Linked DNA regions of Oryzias latipes. The protein of the gene in region 3 binds, or shares a complex with, the protein of the main gene of each other region. Links are inferred from orthologs where the notes say so. Each region holds a gene or a part of one and is shown on either strand. Other genes may lie near its edges. The genes, in order: nup188, nup107, nup98, nup214, nup85, nup160 and cetn3.

The links.
Region 1: nup98 (region 3) and nup188 share a complex: the UniProt entries of both Homo sapiens proteins name them as parts of the nuclear pore complex. The link is inferred for Oryzias latipes from reciprocal best matches to the Homo sapiens genes NUP98 and NUP188.
Region 2: nup98 (region 3) and nup107 share a complex: the UniProt entries of both Homo sapiens proteins name them as parts of the nuclear pore complex. The link is inferred for Oryzias latipes from reciprocal best matches to the Homo sapiens genes NUP98 and NUP107.
Region 4: nup98 (region 3) and nup214 share a complex: the UniProt entries of both Homo sapiens proteins name them as parts of the nuclear pore complex. The link is inferred for Oryzias latipes from reciprocal best matches to the Homo sapiens genes NUP98 and NUP214.
Region 5: nup98 (region 3) and nup85 share a complex: the UniProt entries of both Homo sapiens proteins name them as parts of the nuclear pore complex. The link is inferred for Oryzias latipes from reciprocal best matches to the Homo sapiens genes NUP98 and NUP85.
Region 6: nup98 (region 3) and nup160 share a complex: the UniProt entries of both Homo sapiens proteins name them as parts of the nuclear pore complex. The link is inferred for Oryzias latipes from reciprocal best matches to the Homo sapiens genes NUP98 and NUP160.
Region 7: nup98 (region 3) and cetn3 share a complex: the UniProt entries of both Homo sapiens proteins name them as parts of the nuclear pore complex. The link is inferred for Oryzias latipes from reciprocal best matches to the Homo sapiens genes NUP98 and CETN3.

The regions. Positions count from the first base shown.
Region 1 is NC_019870.2:8,149,464-8,153,276, forward strand, and holds part of nup188 (nucleoporin NUP188 homolog), read left to right. Parts: coding exon 1-96; intron 97-702; coding exon 703-795; intron 796-870; coding exon 871-1,023; intron 1,024-1,970; coding exon 1,971-2,108; intron 2,109-2,191; coding exon 2,192-2,266; intron 2,267-2,396; coding exon 2,397-2,606; intron 2,607-3,088; coding exon 3,089-3,220; intron 3,221-3,292; coding exon 3,293-3,366; intron 3,367-3,438; coding exon 3,439-3,568; intron 3,569-3,774; exon of another isoform or gene 3,775-3,813. UniProt on the Homo sapiens protein: Component of the nuclear pore complex (NPC), a complex required for the trafficking across the nuclear envelope. Required for proper protein transport into the nucleus.
Region 2 is NC_019881.2:22,230,353-22,234,687, reverse strand, and holds the start of nup107 (nuclear pore complex protein Nup107), read left to right. Parts: upstream 1-1,238; 5' UTR 1,239-1,333; coding exon 1,334-1,341; intron 1,342-3,028; coding exon 3,029-3,108; intron 3,109-3,207; coding exon 3,208-3,303; intron 3,304-3,372; coding exon 3,373-3,467; intron 3,468-3,545; coding exon 3,546-3,681; intron 3,682-3,941; coding exon 3,942-4,045; intron 4,046-4,118; coding exon 4,119-4,234; intron 4,235-4,301; coding exon 4,302-4,335. UniProt on the Homo sapiens protein: Plays a role in the nuclear pore complex (NPC) assembly and/or maintenance. Required for the assembly of peripheral proteins into the NPC. May anchor NUP62 to the NPC. Involved in nephrogenesis.
Region 3 is NC_019872.2:23,886,197-23,890,790, forward strand, and holds the start of nup98 (nuclear pore complex protein Nup98-Nup96), read right to left. Parts: upstream 2,929-4,594; 5' UTR 2,779-2,928; intron 956-2,778; 5' UTR 927-955; coding exon 848-926; intron 1-847. UniProt on the Homo sapiens protein: Plays a role in the nuclear pore complex (NPC) assembly and/or maintenance. NUP98 and NUP96 are involved in the bidirectional transport across the NPC. May anchor NUP153 and TPR to the NPC.
Region 4 is NC_019870.2:10,694,379-10,698,191, forward strand, and holds part of nup214 (nuclear pore complex protein Nup214), read right to left. Parts: intron 3,764-3,813; coding exon 3,697-3,763; intron 3,375-3,696; coding exon 3,251-3,374; intron 661-3,250; coding exon 451-660; intron 238-450; coding exon 1-237. UniProt on the Homo sapiens protein: Part of the nuclear pore complex. Has a critical role in nucleocytoplasmic transport.
Region 5 is NC_019866.2:13,014,259-13,017,708, forward strand, and holds the end of nup85 (nuclear pore complex protein Nup85), read right to left. Parts: coding exon 3,321-3,450; intron 3,209-3,320; coding exon 3,091-3,208; intron 2,140-3,090; coding exon 2,039-2,139; intron 1,913-2,038; coding exon 1,761-1,912; intron 1,129-1,760; coding exon 1,027-1,128; intron 822-1,026; coding exon 723-821; 3' UTR 637-722; downstream 1-636. UniProt on the Homo sapiens protein: Essential component of the nuclear pore complex (NPC) that seems to be required for NPC assembly and maintenance. As part of the NPC Nup107-160 subcomplex plays a role in RNA export and in tethering NUP96/Nup98 and NUP153 to the nucleus.
Region 6 is NC_019864.2:4,345,143-4,348,896, reverse strand, and holds the end of nup160 (nuclear pore complex protein Nup160), read right to left. Parts: intron 3,725-3,754; coding exon 3,629-3,724; intron 3,555-3,628; coding exon 3,460-3,554; intron 3,207-3,459; coding exon 3,110-3,206; intron 2,949-3,109; coding exon 2,843-2,948; intron 2,769-2,842; coding exon 2,608-2,768; intron 2,527-2,607; coding exon 2,466-2,526; intron 2,306-2,465; coding exon 2,189-2,305; intron 2,003-2,188; coding exon 1,879-2,002; intron 1,717-1,878; coding exon 1,618-1,716; intron 1,554-1,617; coding exon 1,412-1,553; intron 1,341-1,411; coding exon 1,215-1,340; intron 1,148-1,214; coding exon 1,052-1,147; intron 981-1,051; coding exon 879-980; 3' UTR 813-878; downstream 1-812. UniProt on the Homo sapiens protein: Functions as a component of the nuclear pore complex (NPC). Involved in poly(A)+ RNA transport.
Region 7 is NC_019870.2:1,965,743-1,970,225, reverse strand, and holds cetn3 (centrin-3), read right to left. Parts: upstream 2,907-4,483; 5' UTR 2,758-2,906; coding exon 2,741-2,757; intron 2,041-2,740; coding exon 1,908-2,040; intron 1,837-1,907; coding exon 1,722-1,836; intron 1,652-1,721; coding exon 1,460-1,651; intron 342-1,459; coding exon 298-341; 3' UTR 64-297; downstream 1-63. UniProt on the Homo sapiens protein: Plays a fundamental role in microtubule-organizing center structure and function. As a component of the TREX-2 complex, involved in the export of mRNAs to the cytoplasm through the nuclear pores.

The DNA.
Region 1 (3,813 bases), on a different chromosome or scaffold from region 3:
ATGAGCGCCATGGAGCTCAGCCTGCGCTCCAAACACAACCTGTACTTCACCGAAGCTGCTCTGCATCTGCTGCTTACACTGGCTCGCACTCCTCAGGTAAGAAAAAACGCACACAGAGTACAAGTCGCTGTGACTTTGAGTTGTTTTCTGTTTTTGTGATCATTTTTAACCTGCACTATTTGTAATCCACCATCTGTCACCACTAGATGTCTCTGTTCCCTATTATCCTGACAGTTTTTTTGAGAAACTGTCAATCTTCATCTTTAGTTTTCTCTTTTTTGCTGTTGCTCTTGTGTTTTGTCCTCTTTGCTGATTTGTTAGCATTTTTTTCTTCCGCTGTGTTGAAACTTCCTGTTTTGCACCTGCAATTTAAATTCTGCTCATGACATTTCCTTTGTCTATTACGTCTAAAATGTTTTTGGTGGAGATGGAGACGTGAAAAACCCAAACTGTGTTTCAGTCTGTGTTTAATGTGAAAGAATCTCCGGAGGACTAACAACAGCAGCCGCAGTTCATCACTACAGCAGTTACACAACAGACTGTAAATCTTCTTAAATGATCAGAGCTTATTTAATTCTATCTAAATGACTGCAGGAGAAGGAAAATAAAAAGCTTTTGAGGATTTTGAATACATTTGGAATCGGAATGTCAGATTTAAGCTTTTGAAGTTCTCCTCCTTCTTTTTTTTTTGCTCTTCTTCAGGGAGCAGCGGCTGTAGCAGGAGCCGGAGTTACTGAGACCATCTGTCTTCCTCTTCTCAGTGTTTATGAAGGTCCATCAAATGGAGCCTCTCAGGTGGAATCCGTTATACATTCTTAGAGATTTTCGGGCCAAATCCAGTCGTTCTGAAAGTGTTGCTTCTGTTAGCAGAGCTTCTCCAGGAAGTCGCAGGATGTGGCCTGTTGGCCGGGCGTTTACCGCCTCTGCATGTCTTTGATGGAGAGTCTTCTCAAGACGCTGCGCTACCACTTCATTAATGAAGCCCTGGACTTTGTTGGAGTTCATCAAGAGCGCATCTTACAGGTACGATCGATCAGGACGATTCAGACCAGTGGTCCCAAACCCCCGTCCGTGGACCGGAACCGGTCTGTGGGACGGTTGGTACTGTGCCACAGAGAAAAATAACGCGACCTACAATCCCTCCTGTTTTTATTTATAATCTGACTCTGATGGAAGTTTTATTTTGGAAAACTACAGGATTCTCTCCACTATATCCGATTCATTCTTGACGAATGTCAAGTCGCTCAGTCACATGTCGAAATTCCCTCTTTCCTAAAGCGTCTGCGCCGACCGCTAAAGTGAAACCACCAAGCTAACAAAGTTGAGACAAATCGTTTTTGGAAAGTTTATTTTCGCAGGAAAGAGCCAAAAGGGAAACAGACGAAGAGCCTTTGACTTCAAAATAAAAGAAATCTACGTTAAACAGACAACCCCAGGAGTTTTTACTTGAAATGTGGATTTATTGCGACAGTTGTTTCAACACTCTATAGTAATGCTGAATATTCAGCAACCAGCTGTCTAATGTTATGAAGATGCTGCTAATAAAGATACTCAAACAGTGTAAGACAATTATTATTATATTTAGAAAACAACAGTTTTAGTTTTGTATTTATCCATTACACCTTAAAAGTCAGATTAGGCTGAGGTTGGCGTCTGATTTTATGTATTTTTTAAGCTTCTATTTCTACGCTAGATTTAATGTAGGAACTATTCAAGTTTAAAGCAGCTGCTGATATTTTACAGGGAATGAAGATAAACTTTACCTCAAAAGTTAAGTGAAACCGGAGGCTGTGAAAATTTTGTCTGACATTTAAACGGTCTGTGGCCTGAAAAAGGTTGGAGACCACTTCTCAGGTTCTCGTGTTTCAAACTTGTTCCGGCAAATCTGGATCCATGCATCCTTTTTGCTGAAGTCCTGTAGGATCCAGGGCGGTTTGGGTTTAAAGGCATGTCGGTTTCTCTTCCCTCAGTGTCTGAACTCCATGCGCACCGTTCAGAGCCTGGCCTGCTTGGACGAGGCGGATCACACGGTTGGTTTCCTCCTCCAACTGTCCAGTTTCTGTAAGGAGTGGCAGTTTCACCTCCCCAAGCTGCTCCTGGACGTGCAGGCGAGTCCACATTTCATCACACTTTCAGCAGGAGATATCATTCGGAGCTCATAAACGTTTTTTCCCCTTCTGTTTGTGTTCAGATCAACCTGTGTTACCTGTGCCAGACCTGCACATATCTGCTCCACAGCAAGAAGATGCTCCATCACTACCTGCAGGTCTGAACATCTAAGGATTGCTTAACATTTCATAAAAGATGCTTAATAAATGTCACATTTGTCGTATATCCCTACCAGAAACTTTGTGTACTTGACAGACAAAAAAAAGTCATGAGTTTGTGTTTTGTAGGCCAAGAATGGTGAGGCGTTGCCTCCTGGTCCCCTCTCCAGGACCCAGCGCCCCCCTCAGACTCAGGCAACAGCAGGGGCAGCGGGGGCAGAGGAAGCCGAGCAGAAGGCCCTGCTGACCGTGCAGTGCAGCCTTTTGAAGATCCTCAGCAAAACCCTGGCTGCTCTGCAGCACTTCACTCCCGACTGCTGCCAGATCCTCCTGGACCAGGTGAGACCGCTCAGATCCTCCGCTTTCCCCTCAGGCTCTCTACACATGTGATGCACGTTCACGATGGACTGTCATTACTTAGTACTAGCGCATAAACCTACAGTGGGAAGACGCTTGGCGTCGAAGCGGTGCAAATCTAGTGAGTCTAGCTCCAGGCTTTTTTTTTCCCTCAGCTCTATCCAGATACAGGAAAGACTTGGTGTCATAGAATTCTGGCTGGGCAAAAACTGCTATTATTAATTTCTCCTTCATGATGAATTTAAAAACGGTTGGCACTTCTGTGACTCAAAAAGGACGCCATCCATTCGTCATGACCACAAATGTCCCCGATTGGTCAAAGTTCATCAGGTTTTACGTGGAAGCCCAAATTGCGCATATATGCACATTTACACAGACCTCTCATTGAAGGCACAGTACAATGAACGTAGCTTTACATGAGCGGAATATGTGCTCGACTATTTACTAAGCCACTTCTGCATCAGTGCATGGACCTGGCCGAGTACCGGACCCTGTTTGTGCTCAGCTTCACGACTCCGGCCTTTGACCCCGATGTGGCGCCTTCATTTGGGACCCTGCTGGCTACGATCAACGTGGCGCTCAGCATGCTGAGCGAGGTACTCTTCACATTTTTGTTGCAGGTTTTAGCTGCAGGCAGTCCTTGAGCGTTTTATGTTCTGTCTGGACAGATGGAGAAGAAGAAGGAGACGGCTTCGGTCAGCATAGCATCGCTGGCTTCATCCGAAGAGCTCCAAGCTCTGAAGTGAGTCAACTCCTTTCTGTAGTCAAGCAGCATGCGGTAGTGCACCAAAAGACGCTTTCTTTCCCCCCTAAGGTCACTGCTGATGTTCACCATGGAGAACTGCTTCTACGTGCTCATCTCTCAGGCTGTCCGGTGTCTCAAAGACCCCTCCATCCTCCCGCGGGACAAACAGAGGCTCAAGCAGGAGCTCAGCTCAGAACTGGTGAGGGCTTTGAAAGTTCAAAGATGGGATTTTAAATGAGTAATATGCAGACTATAGAACAATTGGAGGATTAGTAGCACAAAAAACATTTTTCATTCTAGTTTTCTACATCGTTTAGTACAAAAAATTAGATCTTTGCAGGTACAGATGTCATCTTTTACTCAAATGTTGACTTGCTGGCAAAACATAAGAAAAAGCAGGAAATCTTTGGTCAAAATGCTTTTATTTGATGTGCTACTGTTTAC
Region 2 (4,335 bases), on a different chromosome or scaffold from region 3:
CTGAAATCCCGCACCAGAGTCTGATCTGCGGGGTCCAGGTTCAAATCTGCGACCATCTGATGAATGACCTCTCTGTGCGGCCGTCGCCTCCAATCCTGCCACGCAGTGGGAAAAGTTTACCTGGGGTCTCCATCTTCCCCCGGGTCAAACAGACCCTCTGGCAGCGCTGGGGATCCGCCGGCGGGGGTCGATCCGGCCTCTTAGGTGACCAGGACCCGCTGCTGACCGTGAGAATCTCCTTTTCCGGTTCTCTGAACGGCGGAGATCTCCTTTTAACCGGACCACGAAGCGTCCGGTGTTCCTGCTTTAGCTGAGCTGCGTGAATCGATCACGCAACAGCGGCAGCTAACGGAGCGGAGGGCAGAGCACAAAGATGGTCTATTAGGAAAGACGTCTCACTCCGACCACAGCCGGGAATTGACAAGGGAAAAAACTCCTAATACATCCTTTTAAAAGCGTTTATCCGACACAATTCAACTTCTATGTAGGGAACATAAAGTGTATCTTAATGTATAAAAATATTTTTCAACATGTTTTTTTAAACGGAATTTTCAAATAATACACAATCTTTGAAATCAGACGTATTGAAACATTTTCCTTCCTGACATTACAATGTTCACTCTTGTTAAAAAAGACCCTTTTTTCTAAAAACTTCCTGTTTATTTAATATCAAAATTAGGCACAACTTTAAAGTCATTTAAAAAAAATGCAGGACAACTATTTGATTTGATTTAGATCAAATGCATCATATCATATGGTTAATGTGTTCTTTGTCATTCTGTTCTCTGGATGGAAGTTCAAATAACATCAGCTATTAAAATACAAGTTTAAACAGTTTGGAGTGTTTAAGAAAACCTTTTGTAACATAAAATCTGTACAACACACAAGGAACTCTGTCTTTCAGCAGCTGAACAGGCCAAAGAAATGAATGACTGAATAATCACTTAAAATGTAAATATGACACAATTACACAAATGTGAACTTTTTTAATCAAATAGTGGATCTGAATATCTATTTAACTAAATGAATAAATCTAAAAAACACAAAAAGGCAAATTGATACACAAAATTACAAATAATAGGATTACTGAAAGAAAAGTGAAAATTAAAAGATATGTATATGCTTAATTAATATTTAAATTAATATTTATATTGTCTTTTTTATTTCGTCCTCTCAAAAATAGATGTAATCTAATGGTGAACTCTAGGGGGCAGCAGTCAGCTGACAGGCCTGACAGATTTACCTTAAATTCAAAGGCAGATTCGTGAGAAGAGGCGAAGAAGTAAAAGACCAGAGAAGAAGAAAACATATCGGAGCGGGAATCGGCTCCAGCATGGACTGGTAAAACATTTTAAATTTTTGTGTCATTAATGTGACCAGCTGTGAAACACTGATACGTTCACATTTGTACGGTTCGATCGGTCAGTTTTTGCGTTTTTGTTGTCTCCGGGAAACGTTACAAGAGTCAGATTAGCAAACGATGCTAGCATCAAGCTAATCAGTCAGCTGAATGTCATGACGTCTGTTTAGTCAAAAATAATGAATGATAGGTTTAAAGACCCACTTAGGTTAAATTCTGATCTATTTTCAAAGCGTTCCCAGTGTTTTTATTTTTTTGATTGTGCTGTTTTTTTAGCCAAAAGACAAACACTTGTCGTTCTTGGACACAGTTATACTAGTAGTAGTATGTTCTTCTGCAGAGCGGCAGGAGTTAATTAAACTCCCTCAACTCAGGTGTACTAATGATTAGTACACCTGAGTTACACCTAACCCCACCCCCTTCCCGTCACCCATATTTGAGATCTCTCAGTTGTACAGTTTTGATCCAGATTCCAGCTCAGACGTGGAAAACAAAAACGTTCATGGATCAATTTTTGTCGGCAAATGGATTAAATTCAATTCAATTCAATTTTAAGGGGAAAACTCCCATAAAAACGGATTCCGGAAAAACGAAGAAACCTCAGGGGTGTCCACATGAAGGAGGGATCCTCCCCCAGGACGGACAGGCGATTTACCAGAACTCTTAGAGAAGAATTTACTTATCTAAATCTACAACTACACATTTAAAGTCCAGCAGACGAGCTTCATCCAGCCGTGGTTGGGGGGACAGTCAAAGGCGCGAGTCGAGTCAGAGGCAGGATCCACAGCCAGGTGTAGGAGCAGGAGCAAAGGCGAGGTAGACGGTCAGCAATTGGAGCACGGATGATCCAACTGGAGTCTGGAAGCACTCCCACTCCCCAGGAGGGGAGAGGAAAAGAGTGACAATACATGAATCACACTGCACCAAACAGAGGCATGGAGAACTAAATGATGAATAATGATCAAGAATAGAGGAGAGGAAGGGTAGAAGTAGAAGAGAAAAGAGGACAGAACCCCAGTGCACCATAGTTACCCCAGCTTCAACTTCTAGCAGCCTTTTAAAAGAAAGTTATTAAGTTTAATTTAAACAAATTAACATTAAGTTAAATAATCTCTGAATACTAACTAGTCTGACAATAAGCCTGTCCAAAGAGGAATGTTTTAAGTCTAACTTTGACTGTAGAAACTGAGTCGGCCTCTCTTCCATGAGCTGGGAGTTTATTCCATAAGACAGGGGCTTGGTGGCTAAACGCTCTACCTCCAACCGTACTTTTACTAATTCTAGGAACCACAAGCAGTCCTGCGTTTTGCGAACGAAGTGTTCTGATTGGGTGGTAAGGAACTATGAGATCTTTGATTTAGGACGGGGCCATTCCATGTAAGGCCTTATAGGTTAACAGGAGGATCTTGAACTTGATTCTATAATCAACTGGGAGCCAATGGAGCGAAACCAACACAGGAGTGATGTGATCTCTTGCATTCTCTTGCATTGGATGCATCAGAATGGAACTTGTGGCCCCAAACGGCATATTTGCTACATGATATTTATTATCTTTTTCATTTGGCGCTTTTTCGTCTGTTCCTGATTCACATTGAAATGAAACTAGGAGAAAATTGGCTTTTCAAGTAAGATAATGTATGTTTCTGTTTTGATCTCTCTGACCTCCAGGGGTCAGAATGAGCTTCCGTCTCCGGTGGTTCGAGAGGAGGAGGTGACGGTCGCAGCCAGGAGGAGGAAGAAAGTGGCTTGTATCCTCCAGCTTCAGTAGCTGTGTGTGTTTCTGTGCGTCTGTGTGTACAGTTATATGTCGGGACAGTTTCTTTGTTTCTCCTGACTCTTGGCCTCAGTCCCGTCACCCAGTGGTGGCAGCCCCATCGCTTCTGCTGCAACACCAGCCCGCCCCCACCTGATCAACACTCCTGCCTCGTTGTTCAGGCAGGCCGGTGAGATGCTCACATTCATGTCAGATCTGAGGCTTTGAGCTATTCCTACCTCATGTCTCTGCCTCTCAGTCACCCCCAGGGTTCCAGCCACTTCTTCTCTTTTGGTTCCTGGAGGTCGAACGCCTCGATTCATGCACACGCCCAGAAACGCGCTCAGCAGTCTGGTGAGACCCTGATTAATGTGCAGGGACAGCCGGGATCAGCTGCAGTCTGTAACTCAAACCCGTCCATTGCGTATCTAGAATTTGGACGACAGCGATTGGACCAACAGCTTTTACACCTCGCCCGTGTCTGGACTGGAGAACACCAGCTTCTTCAAAGACGATGCTGCCAACCTGAGCTCAGCCCTGCTCAAGGAGGACGATCCAGGAGATGCAGGTGAGGAAAACAAACCACTTTCATGCCTTCACATCACACGCCAATCGGGTGTCAAATTCGCTGCTCGAAGCTTGTCCTAAAATGTGTTTTTAAACCTGATGTGAAATTATGATGTGATGACAGTAAAAGACTGAATAATTGATGAGAAACGAAAAAGCCTCATTGTTGTTTGAGCAGCATCTCCAGGTACATTTCCCTCTAAAGAAGAAAGCGTATCATTTTTTAATAACCAACCTCTCCTGACTTTGCTTTCTCTGCAGCAGCTGCAAGTCTTTTCCCAGAATTCCTTGCCTCCTTTCTGAAGCACTCTTCCTCTGCGGTGTTTGACCTGTTGGAGGATTATCAGAGCCTCTGCCAGGAGAAGGTAGAGTAGAGCGATGCCTTTGAGCAGATCAGGTTCTGGACGTCACGCTGAGCGGCTCTGCGTCATGTTTTAGGTGAACGTTCTCCAGTCTGTGGTTCTGAGAGCCGGTCAGAACAGTAAAACAGCAGGAGTCCGCTGGCTGCTGCAGCAGGAGAACTGTACCTGGAGACTCATCGCCTCGCTTTACAGGTACCTGCCACTGCACCACAGCTCCTTTCCCCGTTTCATTTGACTCATCTACCGTCTGGTTCTGCAGGGACCGGGTCCAGCTGGCGCTGGAAGATGACATG
Region 3 (4,594 bases):
AATCCATTTCAGGAAGCGCACGGTTTCTTTATGGGCGGTTGATCTTTTTAAATCACATAATAGGCTAAGAGGTAAAACATCAATAATACCAGGAGGAACTTTAACACAAATGTTGTGGTAGATGAATGATCTTTGAGGTTGAACAACACATTTTTTTTTTTTTTCATTCATCTTCTTGACCGTTTATTCCCTTTCGGGGTCACGGGGTTGCCGGAGCCTATCCCGGCCACTTGGGCGTAGGCAAGGGATACCCTGGACTGGTCGCCAGTCTGTCGCAGGGTAGAATATCCTCAATCACACATCCATTCACTCTAACACTCACACCTATGGACAATTTAGAGTTGCCAATCCACCTATGAAGCATGTTTTTGGATGGTGGGAGGAAGCCGGAGATCCCGGGGAAAACCCACGCATGCACGGGGAGAACATGCAAACTCCACTCAGAAAGGTCCCCCATTGATGTCGTGTTTTTCATGTCCCCCCAGCCGGGACTTGAACCGGGGGCCTTCTTGCTGTGAGGCAAGAGCGCTAACCACTGCGCCACCGTGCAGCCCAACAACAACAACACAACAACACATTTTTGCAGAGTAAAAAAAAAAAACATTTTGGCATAAAGGACATTTAAAGGAAATGTATATTTACTGTGTGATGTCTATAAGTAGATTATTTTGCCCAAATTTCATATTTTCACAAAAATCTCTTTTCCAAACACTACAAATTCTGTCTGTGACAGAAAAACATGTTTAGGTTACAAAGCAAGTGCTTCCTCACAAATAAAAATACAGACTAAAGAGGCAAATATGTATAAACTTGTGTGTTTGAATATGTAAACATTGAATATACTCACTTTGCTGACCAAAGGTAGAAGATGCCCCAAACCCTCCCGCCCCGCCACCAAACGGAGTACCAAAGGAGCTGTTGAACATGGTGTCCTGCTAACCGGACCTCATAAGTCCTGCAAACAAAGGAGAACGGGGAACATTCATCTGTGAAAGTATCATGTTAGTGAAAAAAAACCCATCATCACTGGAAGAGCAACTAAAAGATCTGCGTGATGTGCTCAGCAGAACTAACTTCACCTACTAGTGTAAGGCCTTAAAACTTGTAAACCCTTCTTGAGTTAACATTCCAAGTGCAAATGTAGATGCCAACTTTCCCTTTTTCTGTTTATTTATCACTAACTAAAGCTTGTAGTTTGCTGCAGCAGAGCAGAAAATTTATGTTCCTGTTTTTTTTAATACTTTCATCTCAGAGGATCCGTCTCCTGCTTCTTTGTATTTACCCTGAATCAGGTTAATCAGACTCGCAGGAGCCTGAGAACCGAGACCGGGCGCTCCTGTTCAAAAACAGTTAAAGCTTCAGTGCAGCAGCGTTCCTCGACATGGAGCAGCAGGACCCACCAACTCCTTTTCTGGATCAATCGAACACAACTGACTTCATTGACTGTCGGTATCAACCCTGTGCAGAGTTTCATGAGTCTGCTGGCCTGAGCAGCAAAAAATAAATAAACAAAAAACTTGCAAGAAGTGGACTTTTGATAAACAGGAGCTGAGAAACTCTGTAGCAACAGAATTCCACAAGATAACAAGCAAGGTGATTGAGAAAGATAAGGCCAGCTGGTAAACATGTTTCTAATGATAAGTTTAAAGGAGGAGGATGGCAGTAATGTACAAACACATCAGTATATAGCAAGTTCAGGATTGATTGAAAGATTGATGATCAAAAAACAATAGTGTTGGGTATAACAGGTTTTTCCATGGAACAACCTCCAACACTCACTACAGCTTCTGAATAGGAAGTACGTTGATGAAATTATCCTTTTGGTCAGTTTACCAGCCAGTCTATGTTCCCATCCACAACATTGACCGTGAGCTAAAGGGAAATAAGGGTCTACCGCTGCTCAATAAATCCTGGTCCTCATGATCTACCACCTTTCCAGTTGTCTCTGTTGTTTCTGTTGAATAGCCGAGTCAGACGTCTCCTCATTCTAGTTGTCAAAACACACCTGATCTAGGTAATCAGCAGCTAAAGGTGCAGGGAGAGCTGGAAAACGGCAGGGTGGTACTGACCTAGGACCAGCACCAGAGAGCATGAGGAGCATGAGTCATGTTAGCTTGATTAAAAAACGTTTTCAACACCTCAGGTTGATTCTACTGGGCACATTTAAAAGGCAACCTAGCAACAAAACTAAATACTTTATTGGCTTATGTTGAAATAAAACTCAAGTATGGAGACGAGGCAAGCAACCAGACTTATAAACTGGCACCGACCAAGTTAGTAAAAAACACACACAAACGTAGCGTAACCAGCTGATTTCACTCCGGGCTCCACGTGGAACACAACCTGGTCTACATGGAAGCTAAACCATTAATCTTTAAAAACAATACAAAACGTTGAACACTCGACGGAAAGAATTCCCAATCAGAACCAAAAGCTTCCTGATTCCGAGCCGGAGGAAACCAGTTGGACCTTAGCTAAAGCTAATACATCGATGCATTAGCAGCATCTTTCTGCTTTGGCTATCGATACTTTAGTTAGTTAGTCGCTTAAGTAAAGTTGTAAAACGCTCACCAACCCCCACAAAGGTGCTTACTCACTACCCAAAGTGTAAAAACTCATGTCCATGAAGTATGTCTTCACTCCCAGATGCTTTTAATGCAACTACGTCAAGCTAACATTAGCATGCTAACAAGCTAGCTTCCGTGCTAGCCGAGGGCTAGCAAAGTAAACGCAATTCCTAATCTTCAAACTAACAAGCTGGTTTAAAGTAATATATACCTTTAACGATCCAACGCTGTATGGAGCGCTCGGTCTGTGTGTCGACCAGTCTTCCACAGGACTACAGCCGCGGAGTTCAAAATGTTTGCCGGCTCGGAGCGGGTTTAGTTTACCTAAACACCAGCGCCGCAATGAGGAGGGAAACCGCGCTGTCAACCGCGAGCACGCACATTCATACGTCATTGCGTCGACGTAAGAAACGATGCGTTCAAAGACGCGCTTCTCGAAATCTAACAGCGATTGGTCGATCTGCCAAACCAAACCAGAAAGCAGTTTAGTTTGATCACCCGCTACTCCATCCCTCTGGACCATGCAAATATCCTTTACAAGAACAAATCTTTATTTTACAATAATTGGTATAATAATAATATCTTACTGGTGGGTCAGCTCTTTAACCACAATGATCAATTACTCAGGAAGAATTTAACCTTAAATATAACCTTGCTGTTCCTCCAATAGAGTATACCATTGTTTTTGATGCTGTTACTAATGAAACCTGTGAACTGTTTAAAAATACTGTACCTCATGGAAATATCTCCTTCTTATCTCTAAGTGACACCACTGTTGGAAAATCTTGCTTCAACTTTGGAAAAACAACAAAGTTATACGTGCTCTGTTTCAGCAAAATGTCATTTCTGTTCCCTATGCTGTCTCCTATTGGAGAAAATTTATTCCTGACTTGCGCTGGTAAAATATTTGGACCCTGCATCAGAAATTATTAATCAATAACAAGATGAGAGATGTCTCATACAGATTCCTACATAGAATCTTTCCCACTAATCAATAAATGTTAAAGACAATTGACCCCAACTGTACTCTTTGTAAAGGACACCCAGAAACAATTAGTCACCTATTTTAGAATTGTAACATTACTAAAATGTTTAAGAAAGAAAGTACATGTTTTATAAATCACAAATTTGACTCAAAATTGCAGATGTATTTTGTGACTCCCAATTTCAGATGAGGTGGCGCAGTGGTTAACGCTCTTGCCTCACAGCAAGAAGATTCCTGCTTCAATTCCTGGCTGGGGGACCTGAAACAGAACACCAATGAGGGACCTTTCTGTGTTTGCGTGTTCTCTGCATGCATGTGACGGTTTTCAGCGGGGACTCCGGCTTCCTCCTACCGTCCAATAACATGCTTCATAGGTTAACTGGTTACTCTAATTTGTCCTTGGGTGTGAATGTGAGTGTGCAACAGACTGGCGACCTTTCCAGGATGTCCCCTGCCTTCACCCACAAGTGGCCGGGATAGGCTCCAGCAGCCCCGTGATCCCGAAAAGGAACAACAGTTTAGAAGAATGAATTATGAAATTTTAATATATCATATTTGGCCTACACAAAAAGAACACAAAATCACACATACAATTGGCAATCAATGTAATTATTATATGTGGTTTCATATTCACAAATTAAGTTTTCTTCATTACAACGTTTTCCCTGTAATAATTAAAGAATAAGAACCTTATTTACATACTATTTCTAATAGTTTAAAAAAAAGCCATATTTTATTTATGAGAACTGTATAGTAATTTGTTTTGCAATATTTATTTTGTAATACAACCCCTGGCACTCTCATTGTTAAGACTACTGTTTTTGTCATGCAAAATTTTTCTGTGTTTTGAACAATAAAGCATTACAAAAACATGGACCATACAGGGTAACACGTCATTCATCACTAAACAAGACTGTTTGACAATGGGTCTTCATGTATGTCAACTTAATTCAATTCAATTTTATTTGTATAACCCAAATTCACAACAACAGTCGTCTCGATGGGCTTCGTATCGGTAATTGAAAAAGTTAAACATAAAATC
Region 4 (3,813 bases), on a different chromosome or scaffold from region 3:
AAGCTGCAACTGGGGCAGAGGTGGTGGAGAAGGTTGATGGGACTGAGAAACTAAAGCCGGAGAAGGCTGATGTCACAGGAGCCGTTGGAGCCATGCTAAAAGGAATAATGGAGGACGGAGCAGAAGAGACTGGAGGACTGGGCGCAGCTGCTGAAGAAGCGAGGCTGATGCTCGGGAAGGCAGGTGGAGCAGAAGGAACTGCAGCAGGAATCTTGGCTGGTGCTGTTGCCACGGAACCTTTGAACAGAAAGAAAAGTATTCGTCATCTGATTCCACAAAAAAACAAAGTCACTTTTCACAAAATATAAATGGAGACTGCATAGTTTTAGATTACACTTTATGGTTAGGATAAGAAAAATTTCATTTGATTTTCTGCGCAAACAATTTAAAATCAAGCAACAGACTATTAACAAGTTGTAAAATTTTGAATTTTTTTTTTTTGCTACTTACGAGGATGACCAAAACTCACACCTGCAACCCTCTCCATAACAGCCTTCTCACCTGGCTTTGGTAGCCTCTCCCCTTCAGGGGTCAGCATTGTAGGGGGTGAGACAAGCTGTTTGGCCCCAGGGTTTTGGTTGACTAAAGCAAATGAGCAGAGCAATCCCTCTGTGGACAGCATCATCAGAGTGGGTGCTGGAGGTAAGGTCTTCTCATCGGCTGTGGGCGAGTGAAGGTATCAAAAATCAATGACTAGTTTTCTACAGTAACCCTTTTAAAAGTGTTAATCTCCTTTCAGCAACACAAAAAAATTAAAATAAAACAAATAATTGGCTTAAAATTGATGCCTTGATATCAATATTCTTTTTTTTTTTTTATTGCAGCCTCCCGCTGATCAGAGGCAGCAGAAATTTCTTTTTTTAAGCTATCTGGCAGGAAATTCTGTCAAGTCCATTAATTAGGATTCAGTTTGGAATAATCATTTACAGACGGCTCATAGAAAATATTTGACTTCCTGCTCGATGCTATTTCCAGTTAATAAAAACAGCTTCACAGGGGAAATAAAAGTGATGTGTGCACACAGTTTGTGATCACAAACTGCTTTATGTCACATGGAGCTTAAAAATACTTACAGGATGTGCACAAAGATGTTAGTGCGTTAGGGTGTTTCCACTTCTTTTTCTTTGCCTTTAATGCATTTGGTTTGAAAAATGTATCTGCATTTATATGGACAGCGCAATTCTAAAGATGCATGAAGTGGCAGAAAACAGCCCACCGGCTTCCTCTTCGTGCCAAACCCTCAAACCTTTCTACCACTCACACCCACTTTCCTGTACTTCCAAAATCCTGCAGTGTCTTGTGGGCTGGAGACAAAATCTCATCTAAAGAATTGAAATAACATCTACAGCACAAATGGCATATATTAGACTGTGCAGTGACTTATTTAAAGTCTCTATCTGATCATCTTTTGTTCTATTGTAAAAGCCTTCCCAGTTGTCTTTTAATTATGATTATGCAGTTTTGAGCCAAAAATCCAAAATCCTATGTCAATTTCTAGCACGTAGCTTCTGCAGAGCGGTAGGAATTCATTAGAAATTCACCTCCGAGTAGTGGGCGGGACTGTTAGCATGGATAAAGCCCGCCCCCTTCCCCATCATTCATCTCTGTATGTGCTCTCTTTAGTGCTCACACCCACCACCTAACATGTTAAAGACACCAAAATCATGATTTTCATTGAAGTGGGTCCTTCATTTGTAGATTTTATGTTGATGGAAGGACTTAAGTTCAATTAGTTAAACTTATTCAAGACCGATTTTTTTTCGATCATCATAATCATGATTTGTTCTAAGGCTGTTGAGCTACAGGTTTCATCTCCCTGAAGGAGAAAACTGAACACACCCATTTAATAATTCTTTCAGTGTTTCAGGTTTATTTTGTTCTACAGACAAAGTACCCCCCCCTATTGAAATACAGCACAGCAATTAATCCCTTTTTTTGTTGTCAAAGCAAAGTTTGAAGCCAAATTGAGAAGAGAGGAGACTAATGATAAAAAAAAGAGAAGTGTGAGAAAAGCTCATCAGCATTCTGCAGCACAGTTGTCTGAGCTTTGTTGCTTGTTATGGTTCCCAAGCCATTTTTAATTAGACAATTTTTGTTTTGCGTACAAATGAGTTTTTTCCATTACGCCCTGTGCTTTGTTTACACACAGCCTTATTTTGAACAGACTACATTGGTGGTGTACTGTTGCTCAAACTGCATTCTTTTCCTTTTTGGGATGGAGAGTGAGTTCTCAGAGGGAGCAGTGAGGGATGTGACTAGACAGCAACAGCAGTTCTACGTGAATGTCTGGCAGACTTGGCCGGTTAAGATAAAAGAGTGCACTGAGACGGCAGCTGATCATTATTCTCTGCGCATGCTGCAATACAGCACTGCAGTAAATGCTGTATGCACAAAGCAGCCTGATGGAACTGAGCTTCAATCCGATCAATAGAAAAGTACAAATACAAAACATACAACGGTAAACAAAAGAATAATAATAGATAGAGTTGAAAGTAACTAAACTTTAATTTCACACACACTCAACAAAAGTTAACTTTTGTCTGTCTATTTGTGCAGCAAAAGGGCTAAGTATTAACCAACATCTGTCTTCAAGGTTACTCGACTAACCTCGAGCAATCCAAAAATAAATGCTGTTAATGCAATAAACCAAAAAAGGATGTAAAAAAACTAATATATAAGTCTGTTTTATTCAACAGTTACGAATCTGCATAAGTTAAATTTCCTATTAAAATCAATAGAACAACTTCATCCAGTTTTATTTGTTTCTGCTAAACAGATTAGAATGTTTTGATCAGTCCACATCAAAGCTGCAGAGGAAACCAAATATCCAACTGACAAACGGTTCTGCTGTTACCAGTCTGACAAATTTTTCCCCACTAAATTGATATTTTTAAAATCAATTTTCACAAAGCTTGGACTTACATTTAATTTAACTGCACATGAATTTCCAGCAGTCGTTATTTGTCCTTAAGAACTTAAACCACTGAAGCAGAGTTTTTTTTTTGTACATTTAAATTTAAACCTGATCAATTAACATCAGCACAAACTTGAAAAAAATAGATTGAAATGTCTTTAAAAATCAGGTAAATGTACATAACTCAAGTTCACCCACTGTTAAGAAAGATGAACACCATCAAGCTTCTCTAAAGCTTTTAGAAAAATGAATTTCTTCATATGATATGTAACTGACGTTTTGTGAATCAAATGTTTTTACTTGAAAAGCAGAAAGTTGACAGTCAAAGGCACTTACTAATGTAGATCTCCTGCTGGCTGGTGTAGTCTATTGCCAAACCAAGAGGCAGAGTGTCTTCATTTGACTCGGTCACTCGTAGTTCAGCCCTACCCGCATCTTCAAGGATCCACAGTTCCCACATCTACCAGGAGAAAAAAGAAAACATTTGAGAAAGAGCTGAACTAATGAAACTCTTGCGGAAACTTGAAAACAAAGAAACTAAAAAGATTCCTTCTCAGTGCAGTTGTATCCAAAACATTCTGCTCTCTAAAGGGATGAGTGAAATGTCCCAAACAAGTGTCACACATTGTGGGGTGTTGAATCTAGCAGCCTTTAAAAATATTGGTATTTCAAACTATAGAATATAAAAATAAAAGAAAGCATTTGTAGGGAATCTCCTTTATTGTATTACTGACATAAAAGTTAAATATCTTTATACTTGACTTTTTCTTTTTTAGCTATACCTTGTCATCTTGTCTTGCAATGACGCTGACCTCAATAGAAGCGGCTGACGCTGCAAAAACAAGGTCCCTGGATGAAAGGAAAAGAAAGCCAAGCTTTATATTACAAAAAAATTGCAT
Region 5 (3,450 bases), on a different chromosome or scaffold from region 3:
AAAGTTCTTAAAAGTACAAATAATGTGTCATATTGTTTCAGGAAAATATTCAACCAGAATGCATTTCTTTCTAGATTCTCCAGGGTTCAACTAGCTGTTGTTGCTAGCTCAATGAATTCACTGCTTCAGATTGAGCCATTTAAACTCAGTTGTTTGTTTTTTTTAAATATTTTTATTTTATGAAATGTGAGGGGAAAGTGATTTCATTTGTTAGAGCCTTAGCCTGGAATGAAAGCACTGATTTTCCTCCCATTGTTGGTATATGTTCAGGTATATGTTCATGTGCGTTTTTAAATCACTGAATTTTGGTTTGCTCTGTTTTTTGGCAGTTTGAAAGGTTTTATTTTGAGACTGAAATATTTTACTGTGCAGTTTGGCAGTGAATGCATCTTGTAACATGAGCAGAATTTGTCCAACACACGTTTTCTTAGGATATCAAAATGTGAGAGCAAAAGGGTATCGAGTCATGTTGGAGCGGATGTACAGAAGTGTGTTTGATGTAAATATTGTGAGATGTGTCTGTTTACTGTAAATTATGGAAATGTAATGTGCCATCTGTCTGCTGCTTGAAAATAAAAGAGTATTGATGTTTGATATTCCCCTTTTGAAGTACATCATTATGAATAAAAAAGCTGATTTAGGTTGAGAATTTTTTTATTATCAAAAGTCACAAAAGTTATTGGATTTTATGTACATCATGGAAAAGAATGAGGGGGTGTACTTCATGTTTCCACCGTTCCCTCTTTGACTATGGCCATTGCCAAGTTTCTTGATAGCGCGAGTCTCAGGAGCTCCACTTTGGTCAACTCTACATCTTCCTCCTAAACGAATATAGATATAATAAAGTGTTTAAATCAACTTCCCATTCACAAATCCAGTATATTTCTTCAAAAACAAAGTTTCAAACATTTAGAGATGTACATTTTACAGGGAATAAAAGCTGCTTTACAAAGCCAAACAGGGAAAAACTCTTACTTTGAAAGGTTACATGAAAGTTTCAGAGGCTGGAAAGGATGAAATTCGTACCTGCATGGATTTGTCCGAGTCTGAAGATGGAGTGTTCAGTGAGGAAGTGAGCTCCTCTAAACAGAACATCAACTCATAGGTTTGGTCCGCTGAGAAGATCACCTTTATAAAAAATAAATAAACCAATAAAAACATTTAAAAAGGCGCTTTTGTCAATATCTTATAGCTTTTCTTGCATCAAAATGCAACAATCTACAGCTTGGTGCTTAAGGCTGCTAAATACCAACAATGTCATTAGGAAATGATTTTTGATTCACAAAATAACGAAACAAAAGCTCATGGGATAATTTAAAAGAGTGTGTTACAAACAAAAATATTCAAATACTTCATGATTTTACAGACAGAAAATTCCTATATTGAATTTTATATGTGATAGAATAAAAAAACACAGTTTGAAACTTCTAAAAGATTCGAAACTGAAAGTGGAAAAAAAGATTTGAAACTCAAATTGAGTTTTGAAACTTAAAAACAGAAAATTTGAAGGTGAAAATAATTATGTTTCTATTAGAATTGCAGAAAGTTTCGGACACTTTAATTTTTTTTTAGCTTAACACCAATATTTTAGCTTGAATTTTCAAGTTGTTTTATTTGGGTTTGAAATCTTAATGGCCCTGATTTGGCTCCATACAACTTAACATTTGAAGAAAACTTTGGCTGAAAATCTCAGTTGGGTTTTATTCTTTGTTTAGTGTAAAAACTGCTCCACAAAAGCTGGAAACTTGATGTTAGCTGACCTCTTTCTGCTCCAGCAGAGGCAGCGCATCAGTCAGCAAGGTCATCCAGAAGCTCCGAGGAGCAATCTTGGCCGTCATGAGGGAGAGGAGCAGCTTTGCAGCCTCCTTGAAGCGCTTCTCCCCGTAAAGCTTGTGAAACTCGCGGTACTTCCCTAAACAAGCAGACAAACGTTATCCACAATTACCTAGAAATGAAAAATAAAATGCTGTTGCCCAATGAGTATTCATAGGTTCTGCAGGAGGAGGAACAACAATTCAAGTGTATTTTAAGTGTGTACCAAGAAAAGTCAGCCTGTCGCTTAGCAGCATGGCTGGACCCAAGTTGTCGATCAAATCCAGATCAGAAAAGGTCCCTTTGGCGCAGTAATCCTGTAAAAATCTGACACAAAAACAGAAAGATGTCAATTTGTTTTATTTCCCCAAACAGTAGGGGTGTAACGGTACACGTAGTCGGACTGAACCGTTTCGGTACGGCAATTTTTGTTTGGATCACTTTTGCAGCGTTTCGGTTTTACGTTTTTTTTTGTTCTGCCTCCGGCGTAGAGGATCTCCTCTGGGTTTTCCGATTACGCCTCAGAAACCTCATTGCAGGAGGTTCAACAGCCATTAGGTGACGGAGTTGACAGTGAGCGTGTCAACAGTATCATGCAGACGCGAGGCCAGAGCTGAAGGACCCCCCCCCCATTTCTCCTTACGCTCTTGTGTGTGGGAAAAGACAACTGGATAAGTCGAATGCTGCGTTTCGACATTTTATTGTTACATGAAGATAGCATATGCCACAGATAATGCATCTAATATGTTAACGCAATTAAAAAAGGTAAGAAATGTTTTTTTTTCAGGCCAGTGTTAAAATCCAAAGTTCTTGGTTCCTGACAGCTAATAGTTGTATTATTTTATGTAGCAGATCACCTACATAGATTAATTTTATTATTGTTATATAAAACCAATCAACGCATTTTGCAAGAATTTTTTTTCTGTCTTTTTGTACCAAAAAAACAAACAGAAAATATATCAAACCGAGCCCTATGAAATTCTGAACCGAACCGAATTGAGATTTTTGTGTACCGTTACACCCCTACCAAACAGTGATGTCTTTTTAGGTTTAGAATACACAATAAAGGTTGACAAAAATACAACAAATTAAACAGAGCTTTGAGAACCATTTGTGATTTAACTGATTTACATCTAAAAGCTGAGAAAAAAGGAGGGAAAACTTGAATAACTCTGCGGCTCAGAAAAACGTCCATTTCTGGACGTCTGGTGAAGCTAAAAGTTAAATGTACAGAACAATGATCAAAGACAAAGGTGCAGATTGTAAAGAGAAGCCAACCTTTCAGAGATGAGGGTGGCAAACGCTGCATCTTTGGCTCTGATGCTCCAGGAAAGGGCGGAGCCAAGTCTGTTGTTTCTTAAGGCCCTCATGGCCATGATTTTACAGATACTCCGTACTGGATCACAAACAAAAAACACATTTCAAATGCCAAACTCAACGAAAGAAAGTTCAACTTGAATGGTATTTCTGGAACCAAGGTGATTACAGAATAAAGAGTCTTTTAGAACCTTGCTCCGACATCTGCCTCTGTTCACAAATGCGGAGGACCTTCAGTGCTTTCCGCTCCGTGTCTAAGGGAACGCGCTCAATCTGGAGCTCAAGGTAGACACGACCAAACTCGAGGCAGTGATCGAAGTA
Region 6 (3,754 bases), on a different chromosome or scaffold from region 3:
AGCACAAGGGTTAAAATGATAATTTTAGAGTTGTAGTTGGAAAGCATTTGGATGAGATCAACTCAATAGCCTACATTGACTTCTTCATTTTGGCATCAACTCAAAAATGAACTCTGCACCTGTAAGTGTGGGGGTGTTTGGTCTCACACACAGACATGTTTTACACAGATAAAACAGCCTGGGCTCAAACACCAATGTATGCAATATGTGTTTAGCACATTGAGAAAAATATCACCATGATAATTTTATGCTTAATCAGTTGTCCCCATCAAATCAGGAAAAGTCATGAAATATGAATATGAAGGAGCCCAGAAAACACATCCTTCTCCATCTCACTAGTGCCCCCTGTAGTTTCATTTTTGACAATGAAAGTGACTCATATCTCTATTTGGAATGATTAAAAACTCAAAACAATGACTTCTTTGAAAAGAAAAACGTTGCTGTAGCATGAACATGATAACTATTTTAGAGATTCCTTTTTTTCTGGAGCATGCACTTTGTAGACGATCCCTGGGCAGCTGTTTCACTGGATTCCATCTGGTGCCCCCCCCTGGACAGGTTGAGTCTCCTCAAGTTTCATGCAGTCGCCCTCAGAGCAAGATTGATCTTTTTCTTCAAAATCTGGATGAAGATGGGATGTGGTTTATTGTGAAATCCAGACCTTTTCTGGATCTTTCCAGTTGCTCCTTCCTCCTGTTCACCAACATTTTCATCAATCTCAGTGTTTCTCCAGCAGAAATGTAAAGATGGAAAGACGTTGGACTTTGTGTCTGTCATGGTACGAGTGTTTGTGCCTTCAAAGAAAAGTCTCATCAGTTACAAAAACACTTTATTTTCATAAACAACAACAACTACAAAACCAATCAGGCGACGGCGCCTCATGTGGTTATCTGCCGTCTTTGCGTGGTGAGTCTGAGCGCGCTCAGTTGCCGTACGGTTCTGTGATACTCGTCCAGTTTGTCCTGGACTCTGGTGTGGAGCTGAAAGACAGGGTCGTTAGAGTCTGTGGCGTCTCTACGGCGGGTTCTCGTGGACATGGGAAGTGACTTACAGTGTTGTGGGTCTGCGTCTCGCTCAAGGCGCGCAGCAGCTGGTCGATGGCGGTGTACGGCAGCCACGCCGGGTGGGAGGTGGCAGACAGTGGGTTCTGAGAAGACGGCAGGAATTCACTTTCAGAAGAACTGGAGGAACTTTCCAAGTTTGCATCTTCTCACCTGGATTCCAAAGTATTGGTGACCACGACCTAAAACTGCGTCCACGTACTCCAACACCAGCTCAGCGGCGCTCTCCAGCTGGTCAAAGTTCAGCAGCAGGCGCAGCAGAGACGGGGCATCAGCACGCTGCAGTGAAACAGCCCAGTCAGTTTTTACCACCAGCCACCTCGTACCTTTCTAGCTCCGCCCACTCTCACCTTGTAGGACTGGATGAGCCAATCAGGCAGAGGCACCCCATGTGACAGCAGTTTGTGGATGACGAGGCGGTGATGCTGTCCATTCGTGGAGGGATATCTGTCCAGGTAGGAGGCCAGCAGGCGCCACGCCTCATCTGCAGCACTGAGAAGGGGGCGGGGTCACAGGTGTGTCAACTCACCGCCATAACACCCACTCAATCCCTCACCTGGACTCCTTGGTGTTGATGACAGACAGATGATTAGCAGCCAACCAGCTCCAGGCTTCATTCTGAGACTCCTCCCCTCCCAACTGCAGCTTAATGCACCTGAACAAACCAAGAGGGGTTTATGGTCTCCTAAGCTCCTCCCACATTTAAGTGATCACCCTACCCACTGAAAAATATCTATGTAGGAGGAGCCTAACTTCATAGAAGCAGGTGAAGAGATGAGAAGATGTAAGGAAGGTCAAGAGTGTTTCCTGGACTCACTTGAAGGCTAGTCCCTCAAAGACCGGACTTAGGTCCAGCTTGAAGGTGTGACAGAGAGACAGCGCCGAGTCAAAAAGCCCGTTCTGGACCAGGAGGGTGACGAGTTCTGCCTCCGACACAGCGCCTAAACACAGAACCTGAACTGAGACGCAGAGCCATCTTGGAAACAGAGATCTGACCTGCAGGATCCACCTCAAACGTTCCAACAGGCTGGTGAACCCATCAGAACCACACAATCTGACTCAAGTGTGGGGCGACTCATGTTCTTCATGAATCGGGTTTGTCACGTGTGTCTCCCTCCCACACATACCTGCAACTGCAGCAGAGGATGGGTGGTGCTGCGCCAACGTGAGGCGGCTGCGGGACAGGAAGTACTCTTTTTCTAGATTCTGGAGCTCCAGGATGTCCACCTGCTGCCTCCCTGTAGCTGCAAACACAGACACCTATGGACCCACACATGTTCCTGCTACACTCACACAAAAGATGCAGGCGCACACCATAACACGCACAATAACGCCCACAATAACACGCACAATAACGCCCACAATAACGCGCACAATAACGCGCGCACACAAAGCCAGGCTCACCTGGTTCACCAAGAATATCTCCGTCTGAGTTTCTCTTTGGCGATGCCCCCGCCCGCTTGCACTGCACCCAGAGAAATCATGTGATGGTTTTAGTATGCACACCTGTGTGTGTGTGAACATGCGTGTACATTTGCGTGCTCACCGCGCTGCTGGCGGCCGGCTGGACGATCCAGGCGTACTCGGGTCTAATGAGTCTCAGACAGTTGAGAGCAGCCAGGTAGCAGTTCACCTGCTTCTGGAGGCCCAGCCGGGTCCGGACCTCCCGGCCCAGACGCATCCCAAACTCGAACATGACCGTCCCCGCTGAGAGAGCAGAAGAGTGAGGGGGGGGGGGGCCAACAGATGCGTGGGGGGTGGCGTGCTGTACACGGCCTCACCTTTCCTGTAGTTGTGTCGGCCGATGTGGAAGGCGTACAGCAGCTCGTAGTAGTTGTGGGTCAACAGGTCCAGACCTCGGGCCCGGGACTCGATAATGTTCACCACCTGAGGGTCATATGACTGCATTCAGAACCACCACAGAGACGCAGAACTTCCCTGAAGAATATCCAGCGTGGAGCAAAGGTCCAGGCGGCAGAACCAGTTTGGTCTGTAAACCACCTGATCAAGGATACCATCTGTGGTTCTGGTTCTGATTCAAGTCTCACCTCGTCGTGCAGGTTTACGTAGGGGAACTGGACCAAATCTCGAAGCTGGGAGCGCTCACACAGAACCACCACCAGCTGACGGAGACAGTCCAGCTGCCTAAGACACAAAGGAACCCCGATCAGAACACGGCAGGAAGCCTCAGCTCCAGAACTTTCTTATTGGTTCCGTCTGAAACGTCAGGCTTCTTGATCACATTTATGAGGGTTTTAGCAACCTCACAGGTCACATGATCAGTCAATCTGTTGCTTTGTTTGTTTTTTATAAATTAGCTGATCTGTGAACAAAATGCAGTCAGAACCTCGAAAGCCCTGAGCGGCGCCGGCACAGATCTGCTTCTGTGAGAACATACATGCTGCTGTCTGGGTTCTGGGTCAGAGCTTCATAGGCCTCGCTGTTGTGTCCCAGGTCCAGATGGTGCTTGAACATCCTTGTCCACAGAGCGGCCTGCACACCCACACACACACACACATGAGGAGCTTTCCATCAGAACCAGCAGGAGTCTGGCCATCACCTCTTACCTGCCTAACCGCCCCCCCTCCCGCCTCTGTGACGGCCAGAGAGGCCAACTGGACCACCAGCTCCGGCAGACCCATGTCTTCCAGAAGACGCAGAACCTGCGTGTCAGAAAGGGTTTCCCGTTCTAC
Region 7 (4,483 bases), on a different chromosome or scaffold from region 3:
GCCACACTGAGGGTTTGTCGGGTTCTGAACCCGCGGCGGAAATTCTGAACTATTAGGAAGAACTTTGTTGGGGAAAACACTCTTTATTTTATGAAAAATAAATAAAACACTCACACAAACAGTTCAAAAGTCAAGATCGACTTAAATCTTGATCTTTACAGAAAGTCAGTCCAGTTTTTACTGTTGGAAAGTCTTCTCATGTCCAGCGGGATTCAGACTCACGGGCTCTGAGGGGGCGTCCACTGGCTCTGTGGAGAAACGTCTGGGTCCAGCTCAGAAGGCGTTCCGGGCTCCTCCTCAGGAGTCTGCGGTCATGATGGCGAGGAACTCCTCCTGGTTTACTGAGGAAACACCGGTCTGCTCAGACTCTCAAGGCCTGTTCACACCGGGACGAATTTCGTCGGCGAAACGCCTCGTGACTAAACAAAGGGCACCAACGAGAGTGTGCACACCGACGCGAAAAAACGCCATGCGTTAAAGCGTCAAAAAAAAAAAACGCCTCGGGTTCGTTTTTTTTTTTTCGACGCGTCGCATCGAAATCTATTCGACCAATGAGAATGGCGCTTTTGCTCACGTGTCTGGAGCTTCTGAAGTTACAGTAAAACACAACTTGGGGGCGCTCAAACACAAAACTGCCTTGCTGAGCACACATACCAGCGAAGAAGATAGACGCCAAGTAGCGTCTACACAGCCGCGAAGCAATAATGACGGACATTCTAAAATATCCCCGAACCAAGCACCAGTTGGAGCTACTGATGCTTGAAATATTAATGTTTTCTTTGTTTGATTCTGACAAGCGTGTAAATACTTGCTCTCTTCTTCTGAGTGAAAAGCGACTTTAAGAAGCGTAAAGTTGCGCAGCGCCACCTTGTGTACAGGAGTATTTCTGTTTACATTAAGCGCCATCTAATGTCAGGGAATGAAATTGCATGTTCGCTCGGCTCATCGTCAGCGAAAATCGCCTGGGTGTGAACACAAAAAACGTGGAGAAAAACGCTGGCGAATAACGCCTGGCGAATATTCGTCCCGGTGTGTACGGGCCTTCGGGTCGCTAAAACTCTGGAACAGGTCAGCTGAGGAAACCGTGAGGGGAGGAGCCGCGCTCTCCGCCCAATCACCGGCGACCTCGGAGCGGGAACGCCAGAACCTTCCTGCCATGGAGGTCAGAGAGCGATGGGATTTCTAAAGCAGGAGCCGCACCGGGAGAAGAGCGGTCCACCTACGATCAGGAGGTCGCAGGTTTATGCGTTGAAGTGACCTTGAGCGAGAGACTGAACCCCCACCTTGCCCCTCTGTTGTCATGGCAGCTCTGCCGCCTTCAGAGTGACCTTAAAACGCGTTAGACCTGCATAAGAGCTACATAAGTACAGGCTGTTGACCCTCATCTCCGCGGCAACGACAGAACACGTGTCATCCGGTGAAGGGGGCGTGGCTTTAACCTGAGCGAATGCAGACTTACTCTCTCCGTCTCTGTCGGTGTCGAACTCGTCGATCATGCTGCGCAGCTCTTCGTCGTTGATGTCCTCGCCGAGCTCTCGGGCGACCCTCCTCAGGTTCCTCAGGCTGATCCTCCCGGACTCGTCGTCGTCGAACAGCTTGAAGGCCTTCAGGACCTCCTCCTTCGGGTCCCGCTCCAGGATGCGGTCCGTCACTGCGGGCAGACGCGTTTCAGGGCGGCTCCTCGTCGCCTGGCTCTGAGGAAGAGGAGGCCAGTGACTCACCTACTTCACTGAAGTCCTCAAAGGTGATCTTCCTGTTCCCGTCTCTGTCGTAGTCCTTCAGGATCTTCAGGACGTCCATCTTCTTCACTTCAAAGCCCAGGGCGCGCATCGCCACCTGGTGGGACCGTGACAGATGACACCTTTGGTCTCGTTTCCACGGTTTCCATCCGATCCGCCGCCGCTCACCTTCAGCTCGTGATAATCGATCTGTCGGTCCTTGTCCGTGTCAAACAGGTCGAAGGCCTCCTTGACCTCGTGCTTCTGCTCCTCGGTGAGCTCCCTCCTCTTATTAGGCTTGTTTTTGTCGGCCTGGTCGGTTCTGCGGAGCAAAACCAGAGTCACAGATTCTCCCTGTGACCACAAACCAGAGCTTGAACCTCGCCGTTCAACCGTGAAGGATGGACGAAGACAAAAAAACAAGAGTTTGAACATCTTCATCAGTCAGGAACAGACATGAAGGCAGGAGAAGACTGACGGCAAACTCTGAGCCGAGAGAGAAACCTGCTTCAACCAACTCAGAGATCTCCGATCAGATTTGAGCCAATAAGAACCCAGACCCATTTAGTCTTATCGTAGTATTTGACCACAAACCACAGAATCCTATTTCTGATATTTTTCTGTCACATTGACGTCACAACAGGTTTATTTGGAGAACCTTTGACCAAATATGGTGGAAAAACAAACGTTATTTCAAAATAAAAGAACTCATTCCCCGAAACGAGCTTTTGGTCCCGGAAAGTCCAAATCAGGTGAAATATTATCTACCGAGGACAGAACCTGAGAGGTCACAGAATTTCGGTGCAACGTCTTCAGCCAAGCTCAGATTGATTCAGAGACAGCTCCACCGAACCGAACCCTTTGACAGACACACATTTGGACCGTTTGGACCGACGCAGCCCTTTGACCGAGTCTCCGGTCAACAAGCTCTGAATGTTTGAGGCAAACGGGCGACATGCTAACGTCGGCTAACAAGGCGAGAGAACCGGAAATGACGTCACCGTAAAAGCTGCGATCCTCACCTCAGAGACAGACTCATTGCGATCGAATTGCAGATCCAAACGCGAAGATTTCACTTCCAAGGAACGGCTACTGTCGCTCAACGAGCAAAAACAAACCCCGCGTGTCCGCGCTCAGATCCGAGGTCCTCATTGGTCGGTGGTCTCTAGGCAACAGCAAGGCGCTCGCTTAGTGGCGCTCTGTTTTTTTTTCTTCGGGAGCAAACTGAACCCAAGCGGGACACCAGCGCCCCCTGCTGTCGTCTGTCATTGCTACATCTGCTAATACTGACGCTGGAATCCTTTTCAAAGTCAAATAAAATGTAGAAAAACTTTAAATAGAAAATCAGTTTGTGATTCACAAAAGAATAATCCAGATAACTTTAAGACACATTCCGGCCATCTTTTGATCTATTTCCCTTCCTGTGGACAGTTTTACAGGACAGTTTCTGCAGATCCACAGGAGTTCATCAGAGGTTCTCCTCTGAGTTGTGGCCATTGGCACACAGTAAGCCTGTCTAATTTCCCATGATTCCTTTGTTTACACTCTTTCCTGCTATCTAACAGCCCCCCCCCCAACCCCCCCAACATTACTGGTGCAACAAAAATGGCAGCCTCATCAGATCCGTCCATTCGTCCAGTTCAGACTCCAGCTCAGACCAGGAAAACAGAGATGTTTATGGATCTATTTGTCTGACAGTGAATGCATCGGAATGGAGCGCAGCACGGAGCTTGTGGCACCGCCCAGCACATTTTTTTCTTTTTTAAACTGCATTTTTTTAGTCTGCTCCTGATTCACAACAAATGAAAATTTGCGCTTAATTTTCTTCATACATGGTCCTCCATCATCAAGAACATGTTAAAAACACCTAAATATTAGACTTTGTCCTCCAACAGTTCAGCACACCCTTTATTTGTTGTAACTTGTTACTCTGAACTGATGACAAGTTTTCCTCATAAACATTGGTCAACGGTCCTGTTATGTCTGATGTCTGTCTGTCAACATTAAAGGCATGTAACCCATAATGGTCCTGGCTTGTTGAACAGTCGTCCTTCTCTCTGGAATCCTGCCGGAGGTTTCTACCCTCTGGAAATGCTTGGAGCATTTCCCGAGGGTCTTTGTGCCCCCACCCCTGATTTGGGCTTTGTCTCAGTTTTATCAGGGATTTCCCATGGTGCTCCGGGATGAAGGTGCCGCCCGGTCTCGGCTCACGTCGGGGCGTTTCCTGTGTCACATGTGTCATCCTAGATAACGCCTGAGTGAAAAACCATGTCGCCTCAGGAGAGATTCAAGCTCAGCAGAGTCTAAGTCAGAAAAAAATACAAAAAAACAGGTGGTAACAACAACAACAGGCAGTAGTTTGTGACGGAATGAAAATAACAGCATAAAAAAAACTCCTCCTGATGAATTTCCTACTGGAGCCTCTGAAGTTTCACTGCGATGATTGACTGGAGGAGGATTCTGGAGGCAGAACATTCTCCTTTCTGTTCAGCTGAAGGAGGATCTGTGTTTGATTTCCAGCCAGCCCTCCTGTTTTTACCCCCCACCCCACCCCCAACTCAGTCTGAGAATTCATGGGGGGGGGGGGGCACAGGTATTTAGCCAGCGTCATAGAGGAGGCTTTCTAAAGAACCCAAAGGGATGTGTGCACGTGTGCAGGCGTGCACGTATACAGGTGTGCACATTTAGCAGTGGGGGGGGGGGGGGGTAAGGTTCAGGCTCAGAAAGCAGCATCTTTATTTGCTCAAACCCACTTTCTAGAACCA